Linked DNA regions of Rattus norvegicus. The protein of the gene in region 3 interacts with the protein of the main gene of each other region in a pairwise test. Links are inferred from orthologs where the notes say so. Each region holds a gene or a part of one and is shown on either strand. Other genes may lie near its edges.

Region 1 (5,035 bases), on a different chromosome or scaffold from region 3:
TGGTCAGACTCTAAAAGGAAGGGCAAGTGATGGGGGAGAGAGGAAGAGGACTGACTTAGGCACTCAGAGGATCCAGGTCCCTTCAACTGGGAGGCTGCATTGGGTTCCAGGTAGGGGTAGAAGGGACCCACCTCAGTCCACCCTAAAGTCCCCTAGCAAGATCTGACCCCAGGGAATTCTGACCTGGCCCCTCGAAGAGTCTTGTGAGTGGTGGTGGTGACGATGTCCGCATACTTGAAAGGTGAGGGGATCACCTTGGCAGCCACCAGGCCACTGATATGGGCCATGTCTGCCAGCAGGTGTGCCTTGACTTCGTCACACACCTGGGCAGGTAGAGACAGATCTCAGCCTGAGGAAGACCTGTATAGGTATACAGTAAGGGCAGCTGTCCGCCCAGCCCCGCCCCCGGCCCCACCCCCTGGCATAGAGGAGTGCTTGATTGGCACTCCCTCACCGACCTCTCTCATTCGTGCATAGTCAATGAGGCGGGCATAGGCACTAGTGCCAGCTATGATGAGCCGAGGTCGGAAAAGCCGAGCAGTCAGCGCTAGCTGGTCGTAGTCGATGAGGCCGGTTTGGGGCTAGACAGACAGAGAGCCAGATAAAGCCAATGCTCCTAGGGGCTGAGGGCTGCCCAGAGCTCCCACTGGCCAGGAGGCCAGCCCCTGGAACACGTACATTGAGCTTATACGGCATGGACTCGAAGAAGATGGAGGTGGCAGAGATCCGCTTGACATCAGACATGTAGCCGTGGGTGAGGCTGCAAAGAGGGGAGGGCTCACTAAAGTTATGTAGCCTGACTGAATCAGCCACCTAGCAGGCCTGTCCCTGCAACACTAGTTCCAGCTTCCCTCACCCCCATTGCTCTGCCTACCCCATGCTGGGTACTCAATGTAACTTGGAACAGGGCCTGATGGTTAACTCCTGTCCTGTGTCCTTACTGCCCAGCAACCCCCATCATTCAGCCCGCCCATACTCACTGGCCCCCATCGGGCAGGTCCAACCCCATGATTCGATCATGAGGCTGCAGAAGGGCGGTGTAGGCAGCCAGGTTGGCTGGGGACCCTGAATACGGCTGCACATTGACTCCCCACTGTGCAGGATCCAGGTCAAAGGCTTCCAAGGCCCGGCGCTGACACAGCAGCTCAATCTCGTCCACGACTTCTGCTCCTCCGTAGTATCTGGCGTGGAGACGGCACATAAGGAAGGATGCAGAGAAAGGGTCCTTGACCAGCAGCAAAGGACTAGGCAGCCGCTGCTCCATAAACACTAACAGGGCTCGGGAAGGTTTCCGACTGGGGGTGCCATCCCTGCTGCTGCCCTCCAGCCCTCTGGTCTAGCCTCACCTCTTGCCAGGGTAACCCTCCGAGTACTTGTTGTTGAGACAGGACCCCAGGGCCTCCAGCGCAGCTCGGCTGCAGAAGTTCTGGGGTGGTGGGGGGGGGGGGCAATGTCAGAAGGCAATGAGCCTCCCTTCCCCTGGACTCCCATGGCCCCACCCCTGCCAGAGCCCACAGGCTGCAGGGGCTGAGACAGGATACACAAAAAAGCTCTGTATTCCTCGCCAGGCTTGAGGCGGGACCAGAGGCAACGTTCTGAAAAACTCAGCCACCGTGACGGGTAGCCCCAGTAAGAGGGCCACCCGTCCACTCAACCTGTGTTTCTGGGTTTCTCTTCTGACTAGAGGAGGAGGTAAGGAGGAGACAGGGCCGTATGGCTCTAGAAGTTCCCTATCACCCATGCCCCATAAACTGGTCCTGCCCTACATTTCAGAGGACAGTGTAAAGAGAGGGAAAAAGCCCAGGAAAAAAAGCTTGAGTCTGACAGGGAGGCGTGGAGAAGTCATGGTAAGGTGACGTGTTGTTCCCTGCACGCACACACGCTCGCAAGCTTGCTCTTTGCCCCATACCCTCACGTCCTACCTCTGAGGCGATGAGCTCCAGGCCACGACACTGTCTGTCCTTCTCCCTCTGCAGAAGCTCCCATATCTCAGGGTCACTGTCTGATAAACTCTCCTGGCCCGTCCAGCCTCCAGCTGCTTCCCCAGCCTGCTTCTGGGCCACCTCACTGTGCTGGGCCCGGGCAGCCATGCAGACCAGCTGACCACATCTCTGCAGAGGCTCAGGGCAGAAAAGCCAGGATTAATTAAAAATTGTCCAGTTCTCTTTCTCTCCCAGTTGCCCTAGGTCATGGGTACAGATAGAGCCCTCTGGCTGAGTAGGCAGCCTGGTCCAGCCAGCAGTCAGCTCTCTCCACCCCCAGCCTTCATCTGGAAAAGCTAGTTCTGGAGTCAAAGGGTCAGATCACTATCCAAAGGGCGATTCTGACACAGCGCACTCTCAATCTCCCTCCACATCACCCTGAGTGACTCTGCAAAGTCACTCTAGAGCAAAGCTTGCGCTCCAGAAATCCACGTCTCCCAAATTCTGGTGAGAGACACAGATACCAGAGTCGCCCGCACACAGGAACAAAAGGTCTGGAGAGATGGTTCAGTAGTTAAGAGCACCAGCTGCTCTTGTGGAGGACAGAGGTTCATCTTCCAGCACCCAAAAAGCAGTTAACAACCATCTGGAACTCCAGTTCCAAGTGACCCGAAGCCCTGCTCTGACCTCTGTGAGTACCCGGGCATGCACGCAGTGCACTTATAGTGCAGTCAAAATATTCGTGACCATAAAGGGGCGGACTTCCTGCAGGGCCTCCATCCACCAGCACTCCAATGAGAGAAGATATCAAGTTAACAGGGCTTAACACCACAGGCTGATTAAGGGTGGTTTCCAGAGCAACTCAAGTAGAAGAACTTTTAAACAGTTCTTGGAAAGAGGTGTGTACTGGCGGGAATGGGGGTAGGGCGAAAGTGTTTGCCCAAAAGGAAGCCAAAAATCTTAATTTTATCTCATACTCATATAATATATATACACACACACAGCACCTCGCTACCTTCTTCCTGCCCACAAAGCAGCAGGACCCTTGCGTGATGAAAGTACTGAGGCTCGGTTGCATCATCTCCATAGCTCAGAGCTAGCGGGAAAAATTCAACTAGCGCATCGAAGCCGGGAACCCCACTTGTTCGCTAGGGTATTGCTAACACAGCGTCTGCGGATCTTTACCTTAAGTGCCTCGTTAACTGAGCGGTTACAAGACCCTAGGACGTCTGATCGCCAGAACTAGGAGCCCAAGCACCGCACGTGCGCTGTCTCAGGGATTTCCTGGTGAAGCATCCGTTCCCCGAGGCCCCAGAACACGTGCGGCGAGGAGCCAGAGAAACCCCACTTTGTAAAAAAGTGGGATGGGCCTTTCCACTGGTCATCCAGTATCCAGAACCCTGTTCTTACCCGAGTGGTCCGAAGTAAAGAGAAGGGTACCATCGCCACCGGAGGCCACGGGAGGACCAGCCGCTAACTTGTATTGGTGTAGTACCGGGGTCGGAAACCGGCTGCTTCTAGAGCGCATGCGCGAGAAAATGCCCCCGTGAAGTCCGAGTTAAAGGGGCGTTCCCTGCGCGTGCGCAACACTGATCTCTAAAATTGCCTTCTGGGAATTGTAGTTTTTCCTTTATCCTTTCCCACATATACTTGTCGTCCCCTCCCCACCCCCCGTTTAAAGAGCTTTGCCTGAAAGAGACTTAGAGCTCTTCCGTGTCCTTCCTTGAAGCTCTTCAGACTTTTTGTTTTCTTTTTTTCCTGCCGGTTGTCCAGACGTGCTTTTTGGTTTGTTTGTTTGTTTGTTTGTTTGTTTGTTTGTTTGTTTTCATGTGGTTTATGCCTACCAAGGAGCCAGTATATGTCCTCTGGGAGATTCAAGACATATATAGAAGGTAAATAACTATCACGTATCACGCAGTGGAAACAAATATAGTTTGTTAAAAGACTCAAATCCTTGCTTTCGGATTACAGCACAACAGCCCCTCTGGTCCTCCATTTCTTCCATTGTCATTCTAACTCTAGGGAAGATTAAAAGTTCAAGGTTAGACCCAGCTACATATGAAGTTAGAAGCCAGTGGAACACATATGAGCCTGTCACACCTTGATGCCTCCAACACAAAGAGCTTGTAGAAGGGATTAAATAAAACTTTGCATGTGAACATGATTCCCCCCCATCCCCACCCGCCATGGGTGTTGCATTCCTTGTTTACATGTTGCTTATCCCCCCAGCCGTTGCCCACTTTCTTGAAACTGGTCTGAGTAAACCTTTGAGTGGGGTATATACTGTTCTCTCCAGGGAAGACTCCAATTGAGTTGGGGACATTGTTTTGTTTTTGCTTTTTTCAAGACAGGGTTTGTAATGGCTATTCCTGGTTGTCAACTTGACTCTATCTGGAATGAACTACAATCCAGAATTGGAGGGCTCACCCATGATCCAGATCTTGAAGCTGGAAGACACAAGTTTCTGACCTAGATCTTGGCATGGAGATCTTGAGGCATAGTGGCCATGAAAAGTTTAGGCCCAGGCATGGAAGGTAGTACATGCGCCTTTAATCCCAGATTGAGGCAAGGAGATCTGAGTTCAAGGTCAGCCTGAGACAAAGCAAGTTCCAGATCCAGGCATGGTGGTACACACCTTTCATCTGGGCCACACCTTCTGCTGGAGGCCTACACTAGGACATTGGAAGAAGGAAGATTCGCTCTTCTTCCACTGCTTGCACTTACTTGCCAGCACATCTGTCTCTGTCAGAACCTACTTCTACAGAAGAGTAACTTGTGGAACTGAGCAACTACAAGATTCTTGGACTTCCATTCACAGCTGACTGATGTTGGGTTAGTTGGACTACAGACTTAAGTCATTACAATAAATTCCCTCAATATAGAGATGCATTCCATAAGTTCTCTATGTATCCTGGAACTCACTCTGTAGACCAGGCTGGCCTCAAATTCAGAGATCCTCCTGCCTCTGCCTCCCTAGTGCCGGACCGAACCCAGGGCCTTGCGCTTCCTAGGCAAGCACTCTACCACTGAGCTAAATCCCCAACCCCGGGCTTGGGACATCTTAAGGCCTCTACTTCAGTGGTTCTCAAAGACACACAACCATACCTCTTGGG
Region 2 (5,244 bases), on a different chromosome or scaffold from region 3:
TTTTTTTTTAAGTACAGTAAGAACACAGTCAGCCTGGGCTACAGAGACACGCTGACTTGTACACAACTCAAATACAGACATACATAGACACACACAGACAGACATACATACACACACACACACACACACACACACACACACACACACACACACACCAGTCCTCCAGAGACAGAGGCAGGCAAATCTCTGTGAGTTTTCGGTCAGCCTAGTCTACACAGACTAGATGGAGCTATGGGGTGAAGCCTTGTCTCAAGGGACAGGAAAAAGAAAAAAGAAAAAGCCAAGATCCTCAGACTTCAAAGGACCCTGGTCAAAGCTCCAGTCTGCCATGTGAGAGCTCTCTGAAACCATCTTGGAAACGTACTGTTGGAGTAGAAATACATGAGAACAGCTGCTGTACAGTCTGCAGACAGACAGACATCCCACCGCCACACAGAACACGCAAAAGAAAAACCACCGACTGCACCAACCTCCATGCCCACCTCTGAGGGCTGGGAGACCAAGCTGCCATGCCTGCCCCTGAGGGCTGGGAGGGACCCGTGTGTGAACTGACATTGGTCCGGGCTTTTTCATACTTCTGAGGTCTGACTCGACATCCCAAACTGCTGACAAGTCTGGAGCTCAGGGCTCAGCACTGCCCAAAGAGCAGAGATGCAGAGAGGACCCCTGAAGCTCACATCCTCTGGGGTCAAAACTGCCTGCTGCCTCTCTTCATTTGTGGCAAGAACCCCCCCACCCCACGCCTCAGGGAGCCACCTGGAACCTCTGGTTGTCCTCTGTTCTCTTTAGGACACTGGGTCCAGGCATTCTCTGGTCCCCACAGGAGGGGCACCTGCTGTGGGCATCAGGACATCAGGGTCCAACCTCGTATGATGGAAACTGAGGCCAAACCAAGCTCCCCAGAAATAGATCTCAAAGAGGTCTACTGTACAAAGAACCCAGTAAGAGAGCTAGGATACCCTGAAGGGGACAGGAACCCTCAGGGCACTGAGGGATGAACTCAGAGGCCAAGGGAGGTCACCACCAGATGCGGCAACATTTGACAAGCATGCTCCCACGAAGCGTGGAATGGTTTAGTCTGGCCCACAGTTGAGCAGGTAGGACACACGTCACCCACTCTCAGCCATGCAAGTGTGGGAGAGTGGCCAACCCCGTTGTCAAATAGGTATGATGGTAAGATGGAAACTATAAAAACTACTGGAAACAACCTCGAAGGGGTGGATGAGGGCAAGGATCCAGAGGCCTCTGCAAGATCGTCCAGGGGACACAGTCAAGGAGCAGGATGCATGAGCTTAGACCAAGCCAAGAGGTGTGAGCACTTGTACAATACCACAGTAATCACCCCGCTACCTGCACAGCACTCCACGGAGATGAGTAAAAAAAAAAACCTCACTGCTGCCTGTCAGCGGGGGTAACGCGGAGTGTCTGCGGCAGATCCCAAGTCCTTACTAGCCAATGAGCCAAGGCAGGTAGAATCCTTCATTACCAGGGAAAGCAGCCAGAGGGGAGATAGGCCTCTGAGGTTCTAATCAAATGAGTCACTTGCTCTGTCTCAAAAGGCCCCATAACATCTCTTAGGCGTCTGTTTAACCTCCATCTTATGAAGGAGACGGACGTTAAACGACCTGTTTGAAATCACAACCAGCTGTGGCTGGAGTGTGACTCCACATCTATGAGGCAGGAAGAGGACATAAGGAGTTGGGGGTGGTGAGGAGGAGGGGTCGTGAAGGAGACAAGAAGGGGTGTGAACTCATCACACAGCCCAGGCTGGCCCTAAATTCACCATGCTTATGCCACAGCTGAGCCTGGTACACTGGGAGCTTCTGACAGTGACAGAGTCCTGAGGAAGTCCTCGGAAGCCTGCCACGGAGCATCGAGGGCCTGAGGGCACACTACACACGGACCTCAATTTCCAGACCCTCACCGGCTATCTCCATTCCCTCTGAGGGCCAGATGGGGACGAGAGGACCTGGTTCTGCCCTCTAGGCGTTAGGGTCTGAGTGTTGGGAGTGAACCTGCTGCAAGCTCTGTTTCAGGTGCCGGTCATGAGGAAAAGCGGAAGGGCAGGTGTCAACAACACCCAGCCAGGGCTTCCAAGGCCCCAGGAATCTCCGCCTGCCCTTCTCCATGAGCCCAGCGTGACCCACTGTGGTTTAGCATACAGCCCAAACCCTCATCTGGCCTACTTTCCTCCTCTAACATCCCAGCACACGCACGCACACACACTCACACACATACATGCTAGTACACACAACCCAAACCTTCACCTGGCCTACTTCCCGCCTATAACTCCACCCACCGCCATTCCCAACACACACACACACACACACACACACACACACACACACACACACACACACCCTACAGGGTCATGCCACTCACACTCAGGGCACATGCAGAACACCCTTGGCTCCTTCAGCTTGAAGTGTGACCTCCTCCCTTTCCATGAACAGAAAGTTCTACTCTCAGTGTCCGTCTTCAAACGCAGCTCTGATCTCTGCGTCCCTTCAGATCCCTAACCCAGATCCCATTTCCTGGGTACACACACAGCGGGGCGGCCCCTTCCTCGCCTTACAGCAGCAGGACCCCAAGTGCCAAGAGGCATCTCTTGGAATATGTTCATCAACTTTACATGGTGTGCACCTAACAGAGGCTCGGTCAGCTTGGTCCAGTGGGATCTGGACCGGGGCTGTCCCCTCCAGCCCAGTGGGAACGGAAGCCTCCACTGATGCTGGACTTCATGTGTCAGGAGCAGCTTACCCTTCTGACACCCGGCCTCTGTCCTTGCTCCCTTTCCCATCTGCTCTACGCATCCAGCCTGGCCAAGGCATTCCAGGCACTGGCCCCAGGATGCCCTCAGCGGGACATCTAATTTCTTCTCTAGAGTGGCCCCAAGGTGGATGGCCCCAGCCATTACGGTTCAGTCTAGCTTCCCATCTTCCCAGGCCACTTGACTCTACTTCCAGCAATAAACTTTCTCCAGAGAGAAAGGTGGCTCTGACCATGACAGAAAACCCTTACACAGGTTCTCCCCACTTCCCTAGGAGGCCCAGGACTGCTTTCTCAGGGGACGTGCGATACTTGAAGACTGAGATTCCTGGGCTCCCCTTAGGGTTGCTAATCGGAGCTCCACTAGCGGGATACCGCAGGGGGCCTCCCTGGCGCTCCACCCTCCCAGACGCCGGCGCTCGCGGCTCAGTAGAGCCGGGCGTGCCTCAGGTTTCGCTCATCTGGGAACGCGCACCCGAGAGCGCCCCTTCCAACCCGGGCCACCGCGCCCGGAGCCCGCTCCAAATTGGAGAGCGGCAGTGGCAAGCGGCAAGCCACGGTACCTGTCAGCAGTTGGAGCCTGTGTCCCAGCACCTTCATCTCGGCGTCGGAGGAGCGCGCTGGGCCGCCCGGGGCGAGGCGCGCAGTAGCCGCAGAGAGGAGCGGCGGGAGAGCGGGAGCGGCGGGAGCAGCAGCCGGTAGTGCGGTGCGCTCGCCGCCCCCTCCAGCAGGGTTTAAAAAAATCCACCAATGGCACAGCCGCGCACCCCAAAAGGCACCCGCCGCCACCTGGCCGTGGTGAGCGCCGATGGGGGGGGGAGAGTGTGACACCACGCGGGAGGGGCCCCTCGTGAACAAAGACGCCTGCCGCCCCCAGCCCTCGCGGGCGGACGGGCGACAGCCGTGGTCTCCGGGGGTCCGAGCCAAGAAGGCGAGGGGTGGCTGGGAGACAGGGCGTCGCCCTCGCGTGGGCGGAAGGTGGCCGGGGGGCGGGGAAGAGAAGGTGCGGGACTGCTGTGTGGCTGCGCCTAGAGGAGATCCCAAGGGTGAGGGAGCGGCGACTCACCCAGGCTGCCGAGCTACACGGTCGCGGAGGCGTGAGCCTGGCCTGGACGCCGCCGCCCACGAGCCGTGCAGGTTCCCCGCACGAGCGAGCCCGGGAGCTGGGGGCGGGGCGGGGCGCCGCGGGGGGCGTGCCAACGTGGGTGGGTGGGCGTGGGCCGCGCTGCGCGTCCCGCTTGTTGGCTGGACGCTAGCTGTTGCGGGCTGTGGGAGTGGGCGGGAGGCTCTGCTGGAAGACCCACAGGCCTGGCCCAGACGCAATCTGCAGCACCCGGCCCGGCTCCCAGAGGTTCCCATCTCTTTGCACTGCGTTCCTTGCGGAGCGCCAGAGACGCAGACTTCGGGCTTTGTTTGGGCTCCCACGGGGAAACTAGGCCCACTCCCGCCACCTGTGACCTCTCCTCCCTTGCAGTCCGACCTCACCCACCGGTCTGGGGAGACGCCGTGGGAGGTTGGGGAGAACCAGGAGTTCAGTGGTCCAGGAGCCAACGCTCCTCTGCTTGCAAAGCCTGAAGGTTTCTGAGGAACTCAGGCCACTTCCTGGCTAAAGATGTTCTTTCTGGGCACCCCTGACGGTTTCACTCACACTGTGACTTCAATCTCCTCTCTGCTGTTCACTCTCCGTTATCAGGAGCCGGAGAAGGAACAGGACTTTACTTTCCCTGAACTCCCTCTACTGGGGTCTAGTCCTGGTTCCTCGGAAGGAGGGTCAAAGGCCCTGAAGCATCATAAACCCTGAAACTGGGACGAGATAAAGATTCCTGGAGACTCTGTTCAGGCTCTAAAGATGACTATGGGCCCCTTCCTTACCTTTTCTCTGGGTTCCTGTCTTTATGACCCACAGAGAAAGTACTAGACCAGGAAATCTCTGAGGCCCTGGCTGTGAGGGAGGAGAGTGTCAAGAGAAGCCAGCCCACCTCTTCTGACTTCTGAAACCTCTCGGTAGGAGGTGCTTTGCCATTAGGCCTGGGCTCCAGGTGGCCAGCACCTGAAGTAAATTAACCCCACGGCCAGCTGAGGAAGCAGCTGAGATTTTGAGGCTGCAGGTGGTGCACACCTGCTTATGGTTACTTACTGCTTGTGGTTGAAGGGATTCTAACATGGTTCTGCCAGGCCTTGCCCTTCTCCCGCATTCCCCGTGCCTTGCTTAAAAAACAAAACAAGGCAAAAAAAAAAAAACCCCAAACAAACAAAAACAAAAACAAAAAAACAAAACAAAACAAAAAACCCACTAGATTACATTCTTAAAGCTAGCCGCCAAGCTTTTCCCTTATTTGACTACTTCCTCCTCCGGAAGCTGAGGTCCAACTATCAAAGTATTGAAGTCTAGTAACCAAATGCCCTCTTTGGCTGCCATAATTAACATGCCCTATTAAAATTAAACAGCTCAACCTAACACAGGGTTTCCCCCTT
Region 3 (5,031 bases):
TTCACTCTTCACCCTCAGCTTCTCAGAGATGGTGCTGTTTCCTTTCTAATTTCCTCACAAAGGGTTTTCTCGAGGTACCACGGCATGATGTTGTCACAGTTAAAAAAGTGCTTAATGTAAACAACGATAGTCAAAAACTCTGGAGACCTCAATATTTAGTAGAAAATAATATAAAGCAAGAGTGTTGAAATAAGAGTTTGAGTGTCTGGAATTTATTCAACAGTATTAACTTACAATTTTACATAAGGACTACAAATTCTAGAAAGTGGGCAAGCTGCTTGAAATAAAGGCATTCCTCTTGGATTATGTAGTACAAAAGCTTCTCTAAGCATAGGCTATGAACCCTCGGAGCATTTAGCAATAGAATCTCTCACTTACAGGAACAGCAGGGAGACCACACCCATAATGGCAGGTGGAAACCAGGCTCTTTCCCACCGAAGGACTTTGTCAGCCATCAGCATCACTTCTCCCCAGCCTTGCAGCTGCTCTTCAAGACTTGCAGTCTCCACGGCCTACGCATGACCAACAGTGTTACAGTGTCACTTCCCCAATCTCAACACTTTGGTGGCTCAAGTGAGTAAAATCTTTCTAAGTCATCAAATACACATAAAATGCCTTTAACAAAACTGTTATCTTAAACAAGGTGAGTCATGAAAAACTGCACTTTTGGTACACAAACATGAAAATCCGTGGGCAGGAGAAAGCATAGGCTTTAATGGTCACTTTAGCACTGGGACACATGTCCATGATGTATCATCATACTGCCAAGGTTTCACAATGTATTTCAATATTCATGAAGGTGAGCTTAATATGGTTAACCAATATCCCCAATGTACCCACAGAGCCATGAGGCAGTGCTCAGAATATTACTAAATTGAATATTCTGTTTGCTCATTTCAGGTGGTTGGCATTGATCTGTTGATTGGTCAATTTATTGATTTAAGCCCTTCTAAATCCATCAGGAGAACTTTTCCCTTAATACTAAATACATAATAGTATTTATACTATTAATAGTATAATAGAATAACTCTGGTATTGGCAGTCACTGTGGAATTAAAGAAAACTATTCTAACCAAATTATGTGACCTCAGCACTTAAAAGTTCTCCATAATGGCTTCTTCTTGTTAATGATGGAATTTCAATTAAATCTCAAAGTTTCTCTGCATATGCGACAACCAGTCAAAAGCGTACCTTCACCATGGGCTATTGTGGCCTAGACCTATCAGGGACTTTAGTAAAGGAAGGAAATTAGAACCCAGCAGTTGCTCAGTCTGTGCAGAACCCTGGATTCAACATCCAGGAACCACAAACACACAAAGCTCAACCGATACATCAACTTTTCACAAAGTAGTATGCAAATGATAGTACGGTTGAGGCTAATTTTAGTAAAGATGAAATATGTGACTAAGAACTTCTGACGTCACCCCACACTAGAAATTCTTAACCTTTTACATGTTAAACTTCAATTAATGCTCCTCAAACTGGAAAAGGTATTCTTACAACCTCTACTTTAAGATGAGGAGACTGAGACACAAAGAGGCTAATATATTTAAATCCAGGAAACATAAGACTAATGGCCTTGCTCTCCTTAAAATGATACTGCATTGATGGAAATAGAGGCCCTCTCCTGTGGGAGTTTCCCTGTACAGCAATTAATCCTCTTACTGGATTGTTTGTTGGTGTATGTGTATTGTGTAGGGTAAGATTTAGGATGCAGGGCAGGCATCTCTATTGGATTGTTTGCTTATGTACTGTGTGTGTGTGTGTGTGTGTGTGTGTGTGTGTGTGTGTGTCTGTGTAGAGGGAATTCAAGGATACAGGGCATTCACATTTAAACACGAATACAAACTGAAAATCTTGTACAATCAAAACTGTCCCAAAGTCACTTGTCGGCACTTAGGCTCTCAGAAAAAGTGAAAAAGCTGATTAAAATCTGATTGCTATTTTCATTTCTGATATGGTCTGCCTTTTCTGGGGAATGACATTACAGGGCGGGGGGAGGGGAATGATCTTTCGTTCTTGCCTACGTGCAGTTTAAAATTTAAAACAGGGCCTGGTGATGCTCAACTGTAATCCCAGCGCTTGAGAGGTGGAGACAGGAGGATGACAAATACAAGGCTAACCTCGATAGGTCAGGATACACGAAAACCTAGCCTTAAAAAAACAAAAACAAAAACTTGTAATGAAGCAAACATGCCCTCCTTTAATACCATCTCCTGCAGCTCCTTCAAATCTGTGCTAATCGGGGTTGGGGATTTAGCTCAGTGGTAGAGCGCTTGCCTAGCAAGCGCAAGGCCCTGGGTTCGGTCCCCAGCTCCGAAAAAAAAGAAAAAAAAATCTGTGCTAATCATTTTAAAGTTGCAACCAGTCCGGTGAGTCCCTCGTCAGTTCCCAGACAAGTGCCAGGATCTCCCACTGTCCTTTCCGCATAACCCGTTTTCAGCTTCCTGCGGTGAACTCCAACCAAGCAACTCCAACAAATTCTGTGTCAGCGATAAACTAATTCTCTGTAGCAGCCCTTTGACCCTCCATCCTTGCGCCAAGTTTTAGGGAAAAAAGAATCATGATTAAAAATAATCTACGAGGGGCTGGGGATTTAGCTCAGTGGTAGAGCGCTTGCCTAGCAAGCACAAGGCCCTGGGTTCGGTCCCCAGCTCCGAAAAAAAGAAAAAATAATAATAATCTACGAAACATGAAATTAAGATCAGAGGGCAAAACAGGTAGGTCTCTCCGGCCTGAGCCGGGAACGCTAGACAAGGCCCCTTGCGGCCGAGTGCCCCAACCTGCTACCCAGGTTCCTTCTTGCCACAGACCCCTTCTCACATTTCCACACTCACGGTCCAAGCCTTGTAGTGCACGCTCCCCGGGGGACGTTGGGGATCGGCAGCAAGGACCACCACCGTGGAGATGGGCAGGGAGTCCCAGGATCAGGCCTGGCTGCCCCTGTAGTTCACCAAGACCAGGAGGTCCATCCGGGAGCTCTGGAGACAAACTGACCACTGCGACTCACCAGCAGGTTGCTGCTGCGGTTATCCCCCTCGGCCATCGTTCCAGACGCACGGTTATCAACGAGCGCGAACACACCAAACCCAACACCAGCACGGTAACCCGAGCGCGGGGGGGAACGCCCCGCAGGCCGCTTATATAGGCTCGCTGCCTTTCCCGACAGCCCTCGCGAAACTCGCTCCTCATTGGATAGACCGCACTCCGGCTTCTGGGAAGCCAGGCCAACCGGCAGCTAGCGCATGACTTGAAATCCAGGTCAAAGGAGAGTGAAGCTGCGCGGAGCTGAAAGACTCTGGCCAATCAGAGTGCAGGGGTGTGGCCCGCGGGAGGCGGAGCGGAAGGAAGCGGTTCAACCGCCGTCGCTAGTCTCTCACCCAAATCTTCCTGAACGTTTGTGGCCTCTCTACTCCCTACCTGTCTTCTGCTGTATCTCAAAGGCGCCGAGGGGCCTGTCTGCTCAGCTGAGTAGAGGATGCGCAGTGGCATCCTATGCGGAGGCTAGATGGGCAAGGGACGCTTTTAGGTTCCCGTGGCACCTGCTGACTGGAAGACAAGCGTCCCCATGTGAGCACCTGTGCCTAATGCTGCTGCCTTTTCGCCAACAGTGTTAACAGGCGTTTTGAGAACACGAAAGATGCACGAACTCTTAAAGGGCGTCATTTGCAGCCAGACTTTGGGGGAATCATTTGCGGGGCGCTTCACTTGATTGATTTGAGTACTTCAGGTAGCTAGGGGAGCGCTTCATTCGGAGGGATGGATGGGTAGAGGAACAATTCAGATGATGGAACGCTTCGAACTGATTAATGGGTGTTATGGGGAAGCCATGCTAAATACGGACTTCAACTATCTTAGATTTATATTCTTTAAAAAATAAAATAAATAAGCAAATTACCAGGTTCTTTAAAGTCCCTGGAAGTTTAAAAGAAACCTGAGAGACCACATAGTGAGCCCAAATAAGCCTGGTCCTTTCTGGCCCACGGTGGTTCTATCAAAGGGGCAATTTGTCAGACGTTTTGACCAGCAAAGCAGCTCAGAGTGTGTGTGTGTTATGGGGGGTGGGGGTGGGGGTGGGGGGTTATGACTCGGCTGATAAATCATATCGAAAATTGTAAGGCCTGGAGTTCCCTCCTTCGCCTCCTCAGTACTGAGAACAAAAGGACCAAAACAGCTGAACCAAGCTAACCTGGTACCAGGAAGTCACTTTCTAAGAGGACAGAAGAGTAAAAAGAGGGTTTTTAAAATCTGTCACTTCTACCTTGGTAACTTGGCTACTGCTTCAGAAAGCTTCAAGTTTAATCGGTGTTCCCAAAGTAAAATTTAAGATTAAATTTAGGACAGCCCCAGGTCCAAATCCAGCTCTCACTGACCTTGCAAATTGGCCCAAGGGTTATAAACATCTTTTTTTTTTTTTTAACACAAAGAGGAGTGACCTTTGAAATGTGTCAGATGATGAAGCCCGTTACACTAATCTTCCTCAGAACTTTGGCATAGCAAATGAACTCTTCCCAAATATTCTTTTCATTTCTTTCACTCAGAATAAGGGTCAAAGTTTTGTTTTAAATATTGCTAAAACTGAGCTTCATACATTCTTTTGCTATTCGAGACAGGGTTTCTCTGTGTAGTCCTGACAGTCCTGGTACTTGTTTTACAGACCAGGTTGGCCTAGAAACCAGAGATTCACCCATCCTTACCTTTGAATGGCTGTTCAAAAAGGATTTTTTTTTTTTTGAGATCTTTAAGATTTATTTTATGTATGTGAACACGTTGTCACTGTCTTCAGACACACCGGATCCCTTTACAGATGTTTGTGAGCCACCATGTGGTTACTGTAAATTGAGCTCAGGACCTCTCTCTGGAACTGCTCTTAACCTCTGAGCCATCTCTCCAGTTCTTTTGAGAGCTTTTTAATTTGGAGAGATAATAGGGGGGGAAAGTCACAAAATTGTATTCCAAAACAAACTTTCTGGGATCCACTTCAATAAATTCAGAGCCTAGATACTGTTATCTTGAACCTTTATTTTTTGA

The links.
Region 1: the proteins of Arl6ip1 (region 3) and Shmt2 interact in binary tests that used the Homo sapiens proteins (3 or more experiments, as listed by UniProt). The two-hybrid records come from large-scale screens. The link is inferred for Rattus norvegicus from reciprocal best matches to the Homo sapiens genes ARL6IP1 and SHMT2.
Region 2: the proteins of Arl6ip1 (region 3) and Ndrg4 interact in binary tests that used the Homo sapiens proteins (3 or more experiments, as listed by UniProt). The two-hybrid records come from large-scale screens. The link is inferred for Rattus norvegicus from reciprocal best matches to the Homo sapiens genes ARL6IP1 and NDRG4.

Annotation. Positions count from the first base shown.
Region 1 is NC_086025.1:65,246,091-65,251,125, forward strand, and holds the start of Shmt2 (serine hydroxymethyltransferase, mitochondrial), read right to left. Parts: upstream 3,478-5,035; 5' UTR 3,366-3,477; coding exon 3,333-3,365; intron 2,121-3,332; coding exon 1,923-2,120; intron 1,427-1,922; coding exon 1,347-1,426; intron 1,182-1,346; coding exon 981-1,181; intron 761-980; coding exon 679-760; intron 582-678; coding exon 459-581; intron 361-458; coding exon of another isoform or gene 324-360; coding exon 184-323; intron 1-183. UniProt on the Homo sapiens protein: Catalyzes the cleavage of serine to glycine accompanied with the production of 5,10-methylenetetrahydrofolate, an essential intermediate for purine biosynthesis.
Region 2 is NC_086037.1:9,389,496-9,394,739, forward strand, and holds the start of Ndrg4 (protein NDRG4 isoform 1 precursor), read right to left. Parts: upstream 3,478-5,244; 5' UTR 3,370-3,477; coding exon 3,333-3,369; intron 1-3,332. UniProt on the Homo sapiens protein: Contributes to the maintenance of intracerebral BDNF levels within the normal range, which is necessary for the preservation of spatial learning and the resistance to neuronal cell death caused by ischemic stress.
Region 3 is NC_086019.1:181,871,132-181,876,162, forward strand, and holds the start of Arl6ip1 (ADP-ribosylation factor-like protein 6-interacting protein 1), read right to left. Parts: upstream 3,102-5,031; 5' UTR 3,047-3,101; coding exon 3,011-3,046; intron 513-3,010; coding exon 379-512; intron 1-378. UniProt on the Homo sapiens protein: Positively regulates SLC1A1/EAAC1-mediated glutamate transport by increasing its affinity for glutamate in a PKC activity-dependent manner.